Coturnix japonica: one gene and its partners. The protein of the gene in region 2 binds, or shares a complex with, the protein of the main gene of each other region. Links are inferred from orthologs where the notes say so. Each region holds a gene or a part of one and is shown on either strand. Other genes may lie near its edges. The genes, in order: RGS2, GNAI3, TRPC5 and RGS8.

Evidence for each region.
Region 1: the proteins of GNAI3 (region 2) and RGS2 are in contact, whole or in part, in a crystal structure (PDB 2V4Z), measured with the Homo sapiens proteins. The link is inferred for Coturnix japonica from reciprocal best matches to the Homo sapiens genes GNAI3 and RGS2. Residues at the interface, in NP_006487.1 of Homo sapiens: Val179, Lys180, Thr181, Thr182, Gly183, Ile184, Val185, Gln204, Ser206, Glu207, Lys209, Lys210, His213, Ala235, Glu236, Asp237, Glu238; in NP_002914.1 of Homo sapiens: Glu104, Phe105, Glu108, Asn109, Glu143, Ala144, Pro145, Glu147, Ile148, Asn149, Asp151, Phe152, Leu180, Asn183, Ser185, Arg188.
Region 3: the proteins of GNAI3 (region 2) and TRPC5 are in contact, whole or in part, in a cryo-EM structure (PDB 8GVX), measured with the Homo sapiens proteins. The link is inferred for Coturnix japonica from reciprocal best matches to the Homo sapiens genes GNAI3 and TRPC5. Residues at the interface, in NP_006487.1 of Homo sapiens: Arg205, Arg208, Lys209, Trp211, Ile212, His213, Phe215, Glu216, Glu245, Leu249, Ser252, Asn256, Lys257, Trp258, Arg312; in NP_036603.1 of Homo sapiens: Thr27, Glu32, Glu33, Glu56, Ile57, Tyr58, Tyr59, Asn60, Lys125, Pro128, Thr129, Leu130, Met131.
Region 4: the proteins of GNAI3 (region 2) and RGS8 are in contact, whole or in part, in a crystal structure (PDB 2ODE), measured with the Homo sapiens proteins. The link is inferred for Coturnix japonica from reciprocal best matches to the Homo sapiens genes GNAI3 and RGS8. Residues at the interface, in NP_006487.1 of Homo sapiens: Glu65, Gln68, Ser75, Val179, Lys180, Thr181, Thr182, Gly183, Ile184, Val185, Gln204, Ser206, Glu207, Lys209, Lys210, His213, Ala235, Glu236, Asp237, Glu238; in NP_001095920.1 of Homo sapiens: Thr76, Glu77, Phe78, Ser79, Glu81, Asn82, Ala117, Pro118, Glu120, Val121, Asn122, Ile123, Asp124, Phe125, Gln126, Arg128, Leu153, Lys156, Asp157, Ser158, Arg161, Arg164.

What each region holds. Positions count from the first base shown.
Region 1 is NC_029523.1:3,458,945-3,463,210, forward strand, and holds the start of RGS2 (regulator of G-protein signaling 2), read right to left. Parts: upstream 2,845-4,266; 5' UTR 2,811-2,844; coding exon 2,695-2,810; intron 2,561-2,694; coding exon 2,459-2,560; intron 2,360-2,458; coding exon 2,298-2,359; intron 1,526-2,297; coding exon 1,359-1,525; intron 955-1,358; coding exon 760-954; 3' UTR 1-759. UniProt on the Homo sapiens protein: Regulates G protein-coupled receptor signaling cascades. Inhibits signal transduction by increasing the GTPase activity of G protein alpha subunits, thereby driving them into their inactive GDP-bound form.
Region 2 is NC_029541.1:1,611,412-1,615,533, forward strand, and holds the start of GNAI3 (guanine nucleotide-binding protein G(i) subunit alpha), read left to right. Parts: upstream 1-1,299; 5' UTR 1,300-1,435; coding exon 1,436-1,553; intron 1,554-2,028; coding exon 2,029-2,071; intron 2,072-2,146; coding exon 2,147-2,288; intron 2,289-2,703; coding exon 2,704-2,861; intron 2,862-4,122. Other genes in the region: GPR61 (G-protein coupled receptor 61), read left to right, coding at 1-593. UniProt on the Homo sapiens protein: Heterotrimeric guanine nucleotide-binding proteins (G proteins) function as transducers downstream of G protein-coupled receptors (GPCRs) in numerous signaling cascades.
Region 3 is NC_029519.1:12,390,704-12,394,260, reverse strand, and holds part of TRPC5 (short transient receptor potential channel 5), read right to left. Parts: intron 651-3,557; coding exon 328-650; intron 1-327. UniProt on the Homo sapiens protein: Forms a receptor-activated non-selective calcium permeant cation channel. Mediates calcium-dependent phosphatidylserine externalization and apoptosis in neurons via its association with PLSCR1.
Region 4 is NC_029523.1:6,095,540-6,099,734, forward strand, and holds the start of RGS8 (regulator of G-protein signaling 8), read right to left. Parts: upstream 2,812-4,195; coding exon 2,731-2,811; intron 2,721-2,730; exon of another isoform or gene 2,616-2,720; coding exon 2,583-2,615; exon of another isoform or gene 2,574-2,582; intron 1,214-2,573; exon of another isoform or gene 754-1,213; coding exon of another isoform or gene 728-753; intron 1-727. UniProt on the Homo sapiens protein: Regulates G protein-coupled receptor signaling cascades, including signaling via muscarinic acetylcholine receptor CHRM2 and dopamine receptor DRD2.

The DNA of each region.
Region 1 (4,266 bases), on a different chromosome or scaffold from region 2:
ACTTCACTGAAGCTTGCTGTCTCAAACAAAATTATGACATATTGCAGCGTTCAACACAATCATAATCTGTATATAAATATAATACTGTATAGCTCCTGTTCACTGTAGCTGGGCTTTGCCCTCTGCCCAGCTTCACGCAGCCCTGCTGCCATGCCCAGCCCTGCAGGCTGTGCTGCACAGCTCATTCCTCCTAGAGCAGAACTGGCTGTCCCCTCCTTGCACAGCAGTGAGGGTAGAACTGGTGCCTGCAAACCACACACAAACCTCAGTACATCTCTTTGCAGCTCATGTCAGCTTAAACAGATGGTGTTACAACACCCAGGAACTGATGACAGCAGTACTGGTTGATGTGCAGGGGGAAAAAAAAAAAAGCCACCAGAATCTATACATGACTCAAGTTCCCAGCACTGCTCAACTGCACAGACTTATGCTTCTGCTTGCAGAAGGGCAGCTCTGTGCTGACCTGCTGTATAACACCACAGCTATGACAAGGAGCGTGTCACAAGGCACAGCTCAGTTAGATGCGTGCAGGCTCCTTTACTGCAGCACTCCAAAAAGGACATCACCAGCCTGGTGCACTGCTGCCAGCCACAAACGCCTTCCAACAATGTCCTTTGCCAACAGCTTTGCACCAAAGTCAATATCAGTCCTTATGCTGAGGCAAACTGACTGAGTGCTCCCATCTCAGTCTCTCAGGTCAGGATGCTGCCAAGCCAGCTCAGTTCCTTGGTAGCTGAGAGGTGTTTCCTCACTCTGCACTCATGTTCCCTGGGCAGCTCTGGTGATGGGAGGCTTCTTGCACAGCTCCTGATAGAACTCCGATTCCAGAAACCGTGGGTATGAGTTGTTCTCCATGAGGCTGTAAACTCTCTTCTGTGCTGCACTGAAGCAGGTGTGTGTGGCTTCCTGGAGGTTCTGTGCTATCATGTTCTTGGTCTGGAAGTCAATGTTTATCTGAAATACAAAAAAACAGATGCTTACTTTCTGAGAACTGAATCCCAACAAGCACAACACTTTTGAAGAGGTCAGGAGTCCTTTTGTTTCAGGGATAAATTGATGTAGTTTCTTTTAAATTATTTCTTTACTATGAAAACTTGGAGTAATCCAGGTATGCTGTTTTCTGGTGCCAAACCCAAGTATTACAGGTGTTTGACAAGGCTGGTTTTTCCTCCCCCCCTCCCCATTCATGCTAAGGTGGAATCTGAAGTACAGCTTGTACCATTTTCCACCTTGATGAAAGAAGGCAGTCAGGGAAAAGTTGTGTCCAATGCATTTGTGGCATCTGCATCTTACAAGCTCAGAGGAATAGAGTGGGGCTAAAGACACGAAACAGGGCAATGCTTGTGTGCTTTCCTTACCTCCTTGGGAGCCTCCTTTTCAATGAAGTCATTGTAGATTTTCTTTGCCTTCAGTGTCAGCTTCTGGGGGGATTTGGTTTTCTTGAAGTCCTCACATGCCAGCCAGAACTCGATGTTCTCTTCGCAGAACTCAGACTTCAGAAAAGCTCGGAAAGCAGCAACACCATCTAGGGAAAGGAAGGGGGGAGGGAGGCAAAACCACATCAATTAAGTATTCCAGGCATCTTATATTTGCCAATTTGTCACATCTGCTCCTAGCAAAATATTTTGCTGTAGTTCTGGTCTTTTCTGCAATGTTATGGTAATAAGAAATCCACATTGCAGGCAAATTAACACCCTAACAGCTTGGCAGGCTTCAAGTCAGCCAAATTAATGTAAGTGCAAAACCAAAAGCTGTTTCTAGTCAGTGTGTACCCTTATGATACCTGCAGATGAGCTACGTTAAGAAGAAAAGCTCTAGATGGGATCATCCTCATTAACCTTTATGCTGGAGCAAATACTTCTGACAGCACAACAAACCCCTGGAACGCTTTTGCAATGGAAAGGATGACTCAGAAGTTCAAAGAACAAATTGCCGTATCAGCTCTTAGTTGTTACTGCTGTGCTGTTGAGTGCTTTTTTTTTTTTTTTTTCCCCAGCAAAAATCTGCCCCACAAGAAAATGAAATCAGTGGACTTCTGTGCTGCAGAATCCTTACTGAATTATAAGAATGAATCTGATTTGGATAAGAGAGCACAGTGCTTTGCACTTATGGCAAAGCCAGGCTGAATAGGTAAAGTTGAACTACAGAGCCTACAGCTACAATGCTTCAGAGTGGGGAGCTCTGCTTTAATATTACTTTAAGAGCTCCGTGCAGTACTGACATGCAGGGAAGCCATCTCCTATATCAGCTTCTCCCCTGCTTCGTTCTTAACAGTTACAGCCTGAAGACCAACTTACATTTGTTAGCCAGCAGTTCATCGAAGGCTTCTGACCACAGCCGGGCTTCCTCGGGGGAAGGTCTGTGTGAGGCAGAGAGAAGAGCAGAGAAAGTGAGACCGCAGCTCGAGATCTGCTGCTTCTTTTGTGCAGCACTCGAGTTATCTAAGGCTGGAACTCACCTGAAATAGGTGTGGTGTTTGCTCGCTTTGTTGGACTTCATTTTGCCAGAACGGGAAGAGTTCTGCAGGAAGTAGCTCAGCTTCTTCTTCCAGTCTTTAATGCTGGAAAAACAAAAGACGCTCATTTACAACGAAGCCGTCAACCACCAACCTCACCCCAGTACCCAGAGCCGCCTTCAGGCTGCGAGCAGAAGAGAGAAACCTTTCCCTTCGGCCGAGCCGGCGGTGCCACTCACATGGTGCGCTTCATCATCCTGCCCTTGTCCGTCTCCTCCAGCTCAGCTCGTCGTCGGCTGCCCCGCTCCATCCGCCCGCCGTCCTGCGGCAAAGCAACGAACACGGCGCTCTGCATCGCCCTACACCGCTGCCCGGCTGCAGCAGCGCCCCATATAGCACCCGTGCTCCGCCCCACGCCCCGCCCCGTATGGCCGGGCGCTCCGATATTGATTTATTCTCTTTTTTTTCCCCCCCCCTTTCCCCTCCCACCCCTCCCAGAGCTACTTTTCTCTCCGCTCTTTTCTTTCTCTCTCCTCTTTAAGCTGCTTTTCCAACTCTACTTCTCTTCCTCTTCGATTTGCAGATTTGGGTCCGTAAAGTCAGCACAGGCTTCTGAGCAGAGAAGAAAAGGAGGAAGGAGGAATAAAGGCCCCTTTATTCAAAAAAGAAAAAAAGATAAAACCAAAGCGGCGATAAATTTGAGCACGTCGTTTTGCCCCCTACCGGCCGCACGCGTCACAACACCTTAGGCTCGAAAAAGCATCCCCCCCCCACAGCCTTGTGCCAGAGCATCTTGCCTTAGGTAAAAACGGCCTCTATTTAATATTTGAAAGCATTTAAAGAAGGATGCAGTACTGCTGCCTGTTGCGTGCAGGAGCTGCCCAGGTGGGAGCTTGCTAAGGAAAAGCCTGTGTGAGGATGAGAAGGAATAGTCTCACGTTGCTCCCGGGGAGGACCAGGTTAGGTATTAGGAATAGTTTGTGGTGATAGAGTGGCACAGGCTGTGCTGGGAGATAGGGGGGTGTCATCGTCCCTGGAGGTGTTCCAGAAAGGAGGAGGATATGGCACTGAGAGGCATGGTCAGTGCGGATGGGCTGGAGTTGGGCTTGGAGAGGTCTTTCCAACCTTAATGATTCTAAGACAGCTTTTGTTATGTCTTTAAACAGTGAGAGGGGAAAATAGCATTTCAGGTTAAAATAAAACACTGGAGGCATTCAAGGCCAGGCTGGACGTGCTCTGAGCAGCCTGGTCTGGTGGTTGGTGACCCTGCACATAGCAGGAGGTTTGAAGCTAGATGAGCATTGTGGTCCTTTTCAACCCTATGAACATGGAATTGTAAGGTTAGATGGCCTGATAAGATGTACTTGCTATAACATCTGGTTTTAAAAAGATACTTAGATCAACTTTGATCATCTGCATTAATATGTATTTGAAGTTTACATTTTCATTACGCTCCTAAAGTGAGGCTATTAGCATGTTTTGTTGGTTCTGTGTTGGTTTTTTGCAGTGAAGAAGAAACTACATGGAATAGTTTCTTGCTGCATCATGCTGTGCTGCGTGCTTTCTGGTAGTGACCCTGACCTTTGCTGGGACAGCAGTTAAAACATTTGTGTGACAGAAGATGTTTTCTGTGTATGAGTTAAATAGAAGGGGAATGTGTCTGACATCAAACAACGTCATCAGCGCTGCTGCTGGCATCACGTGAACTAGGCAGGTTGCACCAGTCTGCTTTTGGGATGGCAGAGGAGCCACAGGCAAAGTGAGGGATGCAGCATCCATGCTGCATCTCACGCTGCCTCTTGCTGATGGTA
Region 2 (4,122 bases):
CCGCCATGCATCACGGCCCCCCTCCCACCTGGATGGAGACCCCCCGGCGCCGCTCCGAGTCGCTCAGCAGCCGTTCCACCATGGTGACCAGCTCGGGGGCGCCCCGCACCACCCCGCAAAGGACGTTTGGAGGGGGCAAAGCGGCCGCCATCTTGCTGGCTGTGGGCGGCCAGTTCCTATTCTGTTGGCTGCCCTATTTCTCCTTCCACCTCTACACGGCGCTCAGTGCACAACCCTTAGCGGGGCCGGCGGCCGAGACCGTGGTCACTTGGCTGGGTTATTTCTGCTTTACCTCCAACCCGTTCTTCTACGGGTGCCTCAACCGGCAGATCCGCGGTGAGCTGGGCCGGCTCCTCACCTGCTTCTTCAAGCAGCCCCCCGAGGAGGACCTGCGTCTGCCCAGCCGGGAGGGCTCCATCGAGGAGAACTTCCTGCAGTTCCTACAGGGCACCGGCTGCCCCCAAGAGCTGCCCCCGCCGCCTCTGGGCACCCCCAGCCCCAAACGGGAACCGGCGCCCGTCGATTTTCGCATCCCGGGACAGATCGGGGATGAAGCGGCCGAAGGGACGGAGCGGACGGGGGGGGCACCGTGAGCAGAGCGGGGCTGTAGCGTGTGCGGCTGCGGGTGTTAAACAAGGATGGAAGGGAAGAGTGGTGTGGGTGTGTGGATGTGGGGCGGGACGTGGGGAGGGGGTGGAGGGGTGGGGGACCCAATGTGTGGGCTCCACGGTGGGGTTGGGGGCTCAGCATCGGGTTGGGGGCTTAGCAGTGGGTTGAGGGCTCAGCATTGGGTTGGGGGGCACAGCATTGGGTTGGGGGCACAGCATTGAGTTGGGGGGCTCAGCATTGGGTTGGGGGCACAGCATTGGGTTGCGGGCACAGCATTGGGTTGGGGGGCTCAGCATCGAGTTGGGGTCACAGCATTGGGTTGGGGGCTTAGCAGTGGGTTGGGGGCTCAGCATCAGGTTAGGGTCACAGCATTGGGATAGGGGAACAGCATTGGGTTGGGGGGCTCAGCATCGGTTTGGGGGCTCAGCACTGGGTTGGGGGCTCAGCATTGGGTTGGGGGCTCAGAATTGGGTTGGGGGGCTCAGCATTGGGTTGGAGGCTCAGCATTGGGTTGGGGGGCTATGTGTTGGGTTGGGGGCTGTGTAGGCCCCGCAATCATCTCAAGACTACAACTCCCATAATACATCCACACAACACCGGAAGTTCCGCCCTCTCAGCTCCCATCATGCACCACTTTACCGAGGCGGAAATGCCCTGTCGGACGGTGCTTCCCGGCGTGCTTTGCGGCTAACGGTCGCTCTGGGCGGATATCCGGTTCCGCCTGTGGGAGCCGCCCCGGCTGAGGGAGAGGCGCGGTTCGGTTCCGCTCCGTCCCTTTTCGTTCCGTTCCATTTGAAGGCCCGGCGGCCTCCGCCCAGCCGCCGTTATGGGCTGTACATTAAGCGCCGAGGATAAAGCGGCGGTAGAAAGGAGTAAAATGATCGATCGGAACCTACGGGAAGACGGCGAGAAGGCGGCCAAGGAGGTGAAACTACTACTGCTGGGTGAGAGGCCTAAACCGGGCCTAGTAGGCCGCGGGGCTGAACTGGGCCTAGTAGGCCGCAGGCTTTAGATTGGGCCTAGTAGGCCGCAGGCTCTGATTTGGGCCTAGTAGGCCGCAGGCTTTGGATTGGGCCTAGTAGGCCGCAGGGGCTGGGCTGGGCCTAGTAGGCCGCGGGGGTGGGGATGCGCTTGGGATCTGTCTAAGTGCATTGGGCCTATCGGAACCAATGGGCCTGTGGGGTTTGGGCCTATTGGAACCAATGGGCCTGTGGGCTTTGGGCCTATTGGAACCAATGGGCCTGTGGGCTTTGGGCCTATCAGAACCCCCAGGGCAGCGCTCCCACGGTGGCCGCACCGCACCGTATGGTGCGGTGTGGCCACCATGGGAGTGCTGCCCTGTGGGGGGTGTTTTAAAGCAAGCCAGGCCTCCTGCTGACTCAATCGTGATGGTCTTCCTTCTGTATTTATCCTTTTTAGGTGCTGGGGAGTCTGGGAAGAGCACCATAGTGAAGCAGATGAAGTAAGTGAAGGGGTTGAAGTGCCGCTGAGCTGCCGGTCTGGTTTGGTTTAGCAATGACAGCTCGGTTTTCTTTAGGATTATCCATGAGGATGGTTACTCGGAGGAGGAATGCAAGCAGTATAAAGTGGTGGTGTACAGCAATACGATCCAGTCCATCATTGCTATCATAAGAGCCATGGGAAGGCTAAAGATTGACTTTGGAGAGGTGGCCAGAGCTGTAAGTACTTCATTGATCTCCCTCTGTGTTTGTGCTTTGAATGGTGTTAATGAGAGCTGGAGATTGGGGCTGTGTCTGCATTGACAGGAGACCCCTCATTGTCTGCAATGTAAGTGCTCAACATTAACCACAAACCTGAGGTGTCCCTGAGCCACCTCGTGTTATAGAAGCAGAGCATTGAGCAGCTTTGGCTGGTCCCTGTGCTCTGTTTGCCATATCTACACATTGCTTGCGAGCCTATGGAGGTGTGGGCTGTCACACTGAGGCTCACAGCAGCATCCTGATCCCTCTATGTGCTGCCTCGTGATGAAATGCTCCATTAGGAAATGAGGCTCCCTCACCTCTCAGCTATTGCAGTGATCCTTAAGCTTGTAAACTTGATTTCCTTTCTTAACCCCCCCTCCTGTCCCTGCAGGACGATGCCCGCCAGCTGTTTGTGTTGGCTGGAAGTGCAGAGGAAGGGGTGATGACGGCCGAGCTGGCTGGAGTGATCAAGAGGCTGTGGAGGGATGCTGGAGTGCAGGCCTGCTTCAGCAGATCCAGGGAGTACCAGCTGAACGACTCTGCCTCGTAGTAAGAGACCCCTTGGGCCCTTCTGGTGGTGGGGTGGGCAGGCAGGAGCTGCCCTCTGCTTGGCTGTGAGTGCTGTGATAACCAATGTGAGGAGGGCAGCTGCTCCTTTGGTTCCTGTCCCTATCAAACAGCTGTTGCTTCTGTGTGGGGAAAGCTGCGTGTTCATTGCTTTGTAAACCCAGGAGGAAGGGTGGCTGTGGGGTCGGTTGTGCTTCCTGGTGGCTCTGCGTGGTCTGGCCAAGTTTGAAGCCTCTGAGAAATGAGTTTGGAAATGCTTTATAAGAACCTTGAGATGAGTCACAGCTCGGCTCCCTGCAGGCTCTGTCTGCACAGAGCACAATGCAGCTCGACAATAAGCAAGAGCGCTTCTGAAACTGTAACAGCTCAGCAGAGGATGTTGAGTTTAGATCAAGGGAGGTGAGCTGGCAGGGGGAGCGTTTCTGAGATGCTTGCAGGAAAGCAGCTTCAGGTTCAAAGGGAGAGGAAAGAGCTGAAAATGAGAGAACAGATTGAATAGAAAGACAGGGCTGTTAGGAAATGCTGCAGAGTGCAGTGAGGAGCTGGCTGCTGCTGCAGCACCCGGCCTTGCTAATGCACAGAGCGAGCAGTCAGCTGAGCTGCTGCCCAGCACGCAGCCCTGAGCGCTTCATCTCTGCTGTTACAGCCTCAGCTTCCTCACTGACACACTGCAGCCCTTCCTGTGGTGATAGTGTGGGTGATGCTGTGGGTACATGGTACTCCTAAGGGTGCTTTATCTCCTGCTCCCCTGCAGGGCTGAGGTCTCAGGGTTGGAAGCACACGCTGCAGAGCAGTGCTGCAGTGAGATGGATGGGGTGATGCCAATGGGGACGGAGCCGTGGATCCCCACAGCTACTGAGCCAGGAGCTGGGGAGGCTCAGAGCAGCAGCAGGGCAGACACAAGTCGTGCTGTGGGCTTTCAGTCAGTGCTCTGTTCCCAGAGCCTCATTTCAGGGCGTAAAGAAAAGAAAACAAGTGAACCGAATCCACCCTTCTTGCAAGCTTGTGTTTACCAGATGGCGTCAGAGCATGGGAAGTAGCTGGCTCTGTAAACATGAGGGTGCGAGGTGGGGAAGCAGTGTTGCAACCTCAGCGTACAGAGGAAGCCTGGTGGTGGAGGAGGCTGCAGAAGGGCTGCAGGCAGTGTGGGGTGCAGCGGCTTTTATTGTATCCAGCGAACCTGGATGTGGTGGTGGGCAGCAGGAGGAGGCTGTGGGCTGCCCTGACCTGCTGTGAGTCCTCC
Region 3 (3,557 bases), on a different chromosome or scaffold from region 2:
GAAAGGATACCCATTTTCTCACATGCCAAAACTGAACGTAGCAGTAATAACATTTCAGTTGCAGGATGATGCAGAGAGACTCTCTGGACCAGAACTAAAATGATTGTCTCTCACTTCCAGACCTAAGAGGCTTTCTGACAGCAAAGCTCAGCAGAATGCCTGCCCCAGTTAACTCACACCTTTCCTGCACAGTCAAGCAGCTCACCTGATATTTACAAATGAAAAATAAAGTTACTTTTGGTGCAGTGATACACAACATATAAAAGCAGGTAAGACAGAGGACAGTGAGAGTTGTCCTCAAAATCAAGACAGGAAAGAACATCTTACGTGGAGAAGGCATTGTTCTGTTTCTCACATCGGATCCCCTTGCAGTTGTTGGGTTCCTCCGAGGCACTGGTCTCATAATAAAAATAAAGCTGGTTCAGTCCATTGGCAAAAGCCAGAAGCACCAGACAGTAGATAAAAAGGAATTTAAGGATGTCTAGCAGCATGCGTCCCAGAGAAATCTGCAGGGGTCCCAGGTGTGAATTTGCTGTAAACAGGGATATGAGACGCAAAGAACTTAAAATGTTGGATATTGCAAAGAGGGCTTCTGCAATGAGAGTCGGGTGCCACATTTCCCATTCCTCCCTTGGACGAGAACCGTTGTACTGAAAGAAATAACAAGGGTATAAAAGTGAATTATGTTGTAATCATTTTGAGGTAAACTTGAAACTCAAACCTGCTAATACTAATGCTTTACCTACATATATCAACCAGATAGTGACACAAGAAGTACTTTTCAACCACTATCATTCATGATTCATGATTGAAGATGAGTTCATCAGGACAGAGCTTTCTAATGAAGTCTTCTTATGAAACCCCCTACAGATTTAGACTGCTCTCTAGAGATATTTTTGGGATATCAGCTTTTCTCTGGGGGTTTCTGGTATGTGGGCTGTACTCAGCTAAAGTTTGATAACAGGTCTTTTGAATTGGGTAACTGTGGGTAATTCAGGTCCTTGTGTTGATATATAACATCTTTCTCTTATAACACTTAAAGGGGTTCAGACTGATCCTTAGTAGGTATAGGTCATTTCCAATGACCTTCTTACTATTTTTCTTCCTGAATACTATCACACCCTTGAAACACTGCTTATTCCAGGATGAATGTGAGAGAGAGACAGAAAGGAAGGAAGGAAGAAAGCAAGCAATGAATTAAGGAACATAAGAAGCGGATGCTTTCCCTCCGCCAAAAATGTGCCAACAGCCCAGAACCAAATAATGTTCTTCACATTAATTTTCTCATTAGTTAACTTGCCATGGTAATTCCAGGAAAGTTGCTTAGGCAGAGGTCATAATTACAGCCAAAACGCTGGATACACTTGAGTGCATCGGTTGTAAAATTAACTTGGTTTGTAATGTAACTGTAAAAGCAGAAGCATTATGTGAGCCAGGTGCAGCCAGATGTAAATAGGTGACATAAAAGAGCTGGTATGTATAAATGTGACTTCTCTGGCAGCAGAGGATGGAGTTAAAGACATTTTAACATCAAGGAATATTTTGTCTTCTATAGCATTTATTTCTGCTGACTTAACACGTGAAAAGGCAAAAATGTACTGCTGATAGTGTAGCCAGAATGTCTAGGTCTCTAAAAACCTTTTTTACACTTTTAAAAAGGAAATGGCAGCCATATATCACTGGCAGATGAGCTTATAGGGACTTCCCATTTGAATCTGAAGGTTTTTTTTTCAAGGATACAACTAAAACCAGCAGTTGTTTTTAAACTGTTCCTCCATATGAAGGCACTGAGACATGACAGAATTTCAATGGGATGTGATTGCTTCTGAAATTTCCAAGCCTTTCATTATTCCATGAACATAATGGCCTGAGTTTGTTAACTTGATTTGAAGATGGGTCTTAAAACATTTACAAACAGGTGGCCACTTTAAACTTTTCTGCCAACAACCTACAGTGGGAGTGGACAGATGTGACCAGCAAGCCTCCCCTTCCTAGAGGGAAGATTTGCAGTTTCCTTCTGCATGCCGGCTGGACACAGCAGCCTTGAGGCTCTCTGCGAGGATAGGGTGTAAGTAAAGGAATGTGAGAAGGACTTCATCTCACATCTACTTTTAAAGCAACTTGCTAGGATTGTATTTTAGCCCTTTATAAACTGATGGTATATCCTTGCTTGGAAAGCAGCAATCACTTTTGAATGGGCAACCGGAGGTAGCAGAGAAACTGATTTCAGAGTTATCTAATGAGAAGGCTGGAGCTGTTCAGGTTAGGCATCAGAAGATGAAAAACAAAGTATACAGAGTAGTACAAATAAGTTATAATAGACTGGCATATTTACCCTTTCTCATTACGTGATAATTCAATGCAGAAAATGAAAACTGATTAAGAAAGAATTTTTACCCTATAATGAGGCTGAAGATTTCATTGTTACTAGATAATATTGCAGCCAGATCTTGAAACCAGTCAAATCAGGGGAAAAGAAAAAAAAGTCTCCACACAAAAATTAGGATGGAAAACAACTGTCAGTATACAATTTATTTTTCTTATATTTGGCAGAAAGTTAAATGTCCATGTAAATCTTTGGAGTTCCAAGAAATGTTAGACTATGGTATATTGGTATATGTAACAGCCATTTCCAGCCCCGGGCTGTTCTATAAATAACAAAAAACTTTACAGGTCATGTTGCAGAAGACTTTGAAGCCATTATCAATGTTTTAAATGCTCGTGTCTCTGAGCATACTGCAACCTTTATGTGACATAGGTCAGAACTTCTGTGGGCATGCTGTGTAAGAGCTACCACTGTAGAATGTTTTAAGCACTTCTCAGTATTGTTTGACCTTGGTCCTTGTCAAGACCAGACCTTAGGTTATAGCCAGGTTTAATTCAAGTGGGTCTGATCTGTACTTAAACGGATACATTCCTGTAATCATTTTGTATTCTTTTTTGTGCTGATGTATAGCTCTTTGTTCCTGAGGTTCTTAGGAAGCATATAAATGAAACTATGTTTCCTCAGTGTGTCTGGTTTGGCTGCAAGTTTAAATTTCAGTGTGTGACCATATAAATCTGTGGATGTGTAATTTGTGTGTGTGAGAGAGAAATAAAAAGAGATTGTTAGCATTTTAGGATTTGTTTGTGAATGCTACAATTTTCAACATTTTCTGTATTGCTCACAGATTAAAGACCAGCCTTTAAAGTCTCTAATTTCCTCACTGGTTCTGAATGCTGGGAAGAAAAGATGTGATCTATTTTTGCTTTGATGTTGTCACAGAGCTGCTTCTTCAGGGACAAGCAACTGTCTTGGAAGTTTTTCCCTTGGAAATCTAACAGGCCGCCATACAGCCTTCTGGATTTTCAACATGCCCCCAAACAGTACAATTTTAAAGTTCCAGCATGTTGCTCTGTCACTTCTTTGCCTACAAATTAAACCTTGAGTGTATTTACAAGAGGAGAAGCTGACTGCTTTATATCAAATGGAAGCCACCTACCAGCAGATGCGCTCACAGCACACTTTTCACAGACTCCTGATAAGTAATCTACATATCATGGGTCTCAGTGACTAA
Region 4 (4,195 bases), on a different chromosome or scaffold from region 2:
TGCAGAGGGAAGCACAGCATTTTCTCCCTTCCCTATGCAGAACACTTCAGCACTGAGCTAATCTGTAGCACGCCTGTCCCCCTCTTCTCCTCCCGCCCTGCAGAGAGTTTCTATTATTGCACATTTTCATGTAATCTTACAGCAAATTAAATGTTAATTAAATGCAACGAGTGTCTCCCTGGCAGAGCTCAGGCAGCTCCCAGCACAAAACCTGGGGATCTTCAGTGGCAAGAATAGCTCCAAAACACAAACCTGTGGACTGCAGTCTCAGGATGTTGCCCTACATCCACAGCAAAGCAGACACTGTGTGCACAGCACTGCATCTCCAGCTGAGCCTGCTGCGCTCAGACTGACACTGAGTGGCTATAGGATCGCACTGGTACCTTTCCCATATGCCTCCTGTCCCCAGCGCTCATCCACCTTGGCCATGCCCTGATAAAGCTCACAGCTTTCTCAGCAAGAGGTGTGGTATGCAGTGCTGCTGGGATTTCTCCAGTGCCTGAGATGATGGGACTGCAGCAGGGAATGGCAGCAAGGAGGCTGCGATGCTGCACTGTGAGCACGGAGCTCAGCTTGGGGAACACGGGTTGTGACACCAGGACAGGACACAGGGAAAAGAACCTGGATTGGTAGGAGGTGTGGGGAGGCAGGGGAAGGGCAGGAGGGAGCCATGAGGCTCACAGGATGAGGCAGACAGCAACAAGGGGTGAGGTGTCTGTGCAGTTACCTCCGTGGGATCAGTAATGCAGCCATTCAGGACTCCAGTTACGGCCAATCCTCTGTCTGGTTGGCTTGGAGAGTGGTTTGCAGGAGATTAGGAGTGTGGGAAGGAGGGATTTACAGTTTGATGTCCTGGCACTTCAAAATATAACAAAGAATCCTCTGCCAGAAAAGGAGGGCCCGTTGCTCTCAACCCATTTGATCCTCGTCAGTTTTCCAATGGAAGACTCTCGGAGCTGAAGGATGATCACAAAGAAGAGACAGCATTTCCTCCTGGGAGCAGAGCCATGGGGTAAGTCCAGCTGCAGGTCTGTGCTTGGCGTCACGGCTCAGCATGGAGCAGCAGGGCTCGGCACAGCCACATTCATCATGTGTTGCCTCCAAAGGTCGGTCCTCAACAGGCAGAGCTCCGGGCTGACCTCACTAAGAGGATCCAACTACCTCTTTTCCATGTGCCTGCGGGTCACAGCTGGCGTTACTGGCCATCGTTGTGCTGCAAACAGAAGAACAGGAGGACTTCATGCACCTGTGGATCACTCCTTCCACCATTGCAGGGCTCAAGCACTCATACAGATGAACTCAATGAAAGCATCTCCTTGTCTGGGTGGTGGAAGCTGAATGAATGGACTGAGGGGGTGGCAGGGTTCCCTGAGCATGGGTATGAGATTCTGCTGGGACGGATCTCCCTGCAGGCAGTGAAGGCAGTATCCACTAAGCTGGTAGGACAGAGCAGGACAGAGCTGCTTGCGTAGCAAGCAAAGTGCAAAGGTTTCCTGTTTGCCAGGACAAGGTTGAGCTCCAGATAACCTCCAGGTCTCCCAGCCCAGGGGGGATGGCAGAGGAGGAGAGTGAGGAGCTGATGGGAACAGCAGCTGCGTACAAGGAGCCAGGAGCTCGCTCTGCCCGGGCCAGGGGAGATCCCAAAGCTTGTGCTGCCCAATGCAGCATCCCTTTTAAAACCTGATTACATTAAAAACACACAAAGCCTCTTCCCAACTAAATTAATGGAACTGGGATTGCACTATATGCCAGTGAGTGCATTTTCTTAATCCCTGCCCTGACCGGCTGCTTCGATGTGCTTTAACTGAAATCAATCCTTGTAATTCCTTAAGCCCCTTCAAAATTTCCTCATTAACAGTTTCACCCACATGTGGGGCCAAGCAGAGGATTTCCCAGAGCCCAGCAGCCCCTTCTCTCTCTGACAGCTGGGATGGGTGCCCACATGGTGCCCTCTCTTGCAGTCTCCCCTTGCTACATGCTTTTGGAGGTGCTGTTATGAAACAGCTCAATGCTCACCCCCGCTCCCACCCACACAACCTGCACAACAGAACGGCACCCAACTTCCCCAAGGTCCCAAAGTCTGTCTGTCTTTGGGACATCGAGTCCCACAGCTGGGCTGGAGCATCTGTGGGTACGGTATGCCCTTGACTTGCCAGCAAAGCCAGTCGATGCCCTTAGAAATAGAATGTGGTGAAGGCATCCCAGTAAGAGTCTGCAGCGAGGATTATTGCTTCACCCTCCATCCCTTGTACTCTTCCACCGCCCCCCCCTAAGGCAGGGCCCCATCCAGGAGAACTGCCACTCTCACCATGGATGTGTTTTGGGGTTTCTCCTTGGGAGACAAAGGGAGGGGGAGCAACCATGACATCGGGATTATCGACCCCCCTCCATCCCAGGAGATCACCTGAGCAAAGATAAGGGAGCCATCCCAATCAGCAGCACAAAGGGGAAGAGGAAAACAAACCAAACAAACACCAGACCCGGGGTGGGGGGGTAGGTGGGCTTCAGGAGATAAAACACCCGCAGAGCAGATAAACCGAGCGAGGAGGCACTGCGGACTGAGCGATACTCACCGCCGTTGGTTGACCTGTCCTCCGCGTGTGCTCGGGGAGGCTCTGGGGACACAGCAGAGAGCTCCCTTCAGACCCAGCCCCTCGCACTGCCCTCCGATCCCTCTTCTTTCCCCACACCCCACCCGGAGCCCCGCGTCTCAGCCCCGCACAGCCTCACCCGGCGCTCCGCAACGCGGCGGCTGCACCGCGATGGGCGGCGATGCAGCGGTGCCCACCTGACCCGCTCGTCCCTCCGCATCCCTCCTCGCCCGCTCACCTGCTGGGAGCGTCCCCCCGCCCCGCTACAGATGCCAAAAGCCGGTGGGGTGGGGGATGTCTGCCAGAGCTGTCGCTGCTGTCACCCTCCCCTCTTTGGGAGGGAGAGTCCCTCCCGCATCGCTTTGATCAGCCTCTCTGAGGCTTAGGGGAGGATGCTGCCCTCGGATCGTCGGCAGTCGCATAGACAGAAGGGAGTGGGGAGCTTAATTAGAGAGCCTCGGCTTCAGTGGGGGCAAGGGAAATCGTTAACCTTATTGTACAGCATGGGAAAGGGAAGAAACCAACCCACCTGGCAGCTCAGGTTGCAACCAGCCCCTGCACTTCTTTGCTATGTGCCCCCCCTCCCCTGGAACCAACCTTGGTTTGCCTCCCACCCCTCTTCCTGCACCCACCCCTCCACCTTCAGCCAACAGCGTGTATCTGGGGTTCACTCCTGGTGAGGCTTCTACTGTAATCTATCCCTGCACCCCAGTAGCAGGACCCCAGCAGTGAGACCTCAGACCTGGGCTTGGCTCAGCCACCAGAAGCACAGCCCCTGGATGCCAATAGAGGTGCTCACCAAGGGCCCAAGCCATGAGATCTCCCCATTTTGATGGGGAACGTGTTGCTCAGAGTGACAGTGGGTGCCCCATCCCTGCAGACAACCAAGGTCAGGCTGAGTGGGCTCTGAGCACCTGATATAGCTATAAGCATCCCTGCTGAATACAGGGGGTTGGACCAGATGGCTTTTAAGTATCCCTTCCAACTCAAATCATTCTGTGATTCTACAGCCATGAGAGCTCTTGATGGAGCTTGTCACCGCTTGAGGCATCAGAAAAAATACTGTACACCACAAAACCCCAATCCCAAGCAGATAAACCAGTTGCTATTTTTCCCTCATCACCTCTCCTTGGCTAACAAAACCCTGGGCTGACATCCTCATGCTCTTAGCAAGAAGCACAGCTTGAGACAGCACATCATCACCAGGCAACACCCCTGGGGAGGGAGCATCCCATAGAACTTACTATAAAAACACAGGGATTAGCAGCTCTGCAGGCATGATCCCATTGCTCCAGCCTGGATTCCCTCCTTCACAGCTCATCTTGGCAAGGAAATAACTCTCCCCTGCTGTCATCCTCCCCCTTGCAAAGCCCAGGTCATCCTGACTTGGATTCATCGCATCTCCGGTGATGAGGAAACAAGTGCTGAAAATACCCTAACAAAAAAAAATGCAGTGGTTGATACAACCTCCTCTCAGCCAAGGTTAAAGGTTGAGGTTCATCTGATGCCTCTGGTCTGTTCCAGTTAAATAACAATCCGCTTCAGCCCTTCCCCGAACCCAGGCCAAATTTAACACAGCATCACTCAGGGTTCAACTCTTAGCA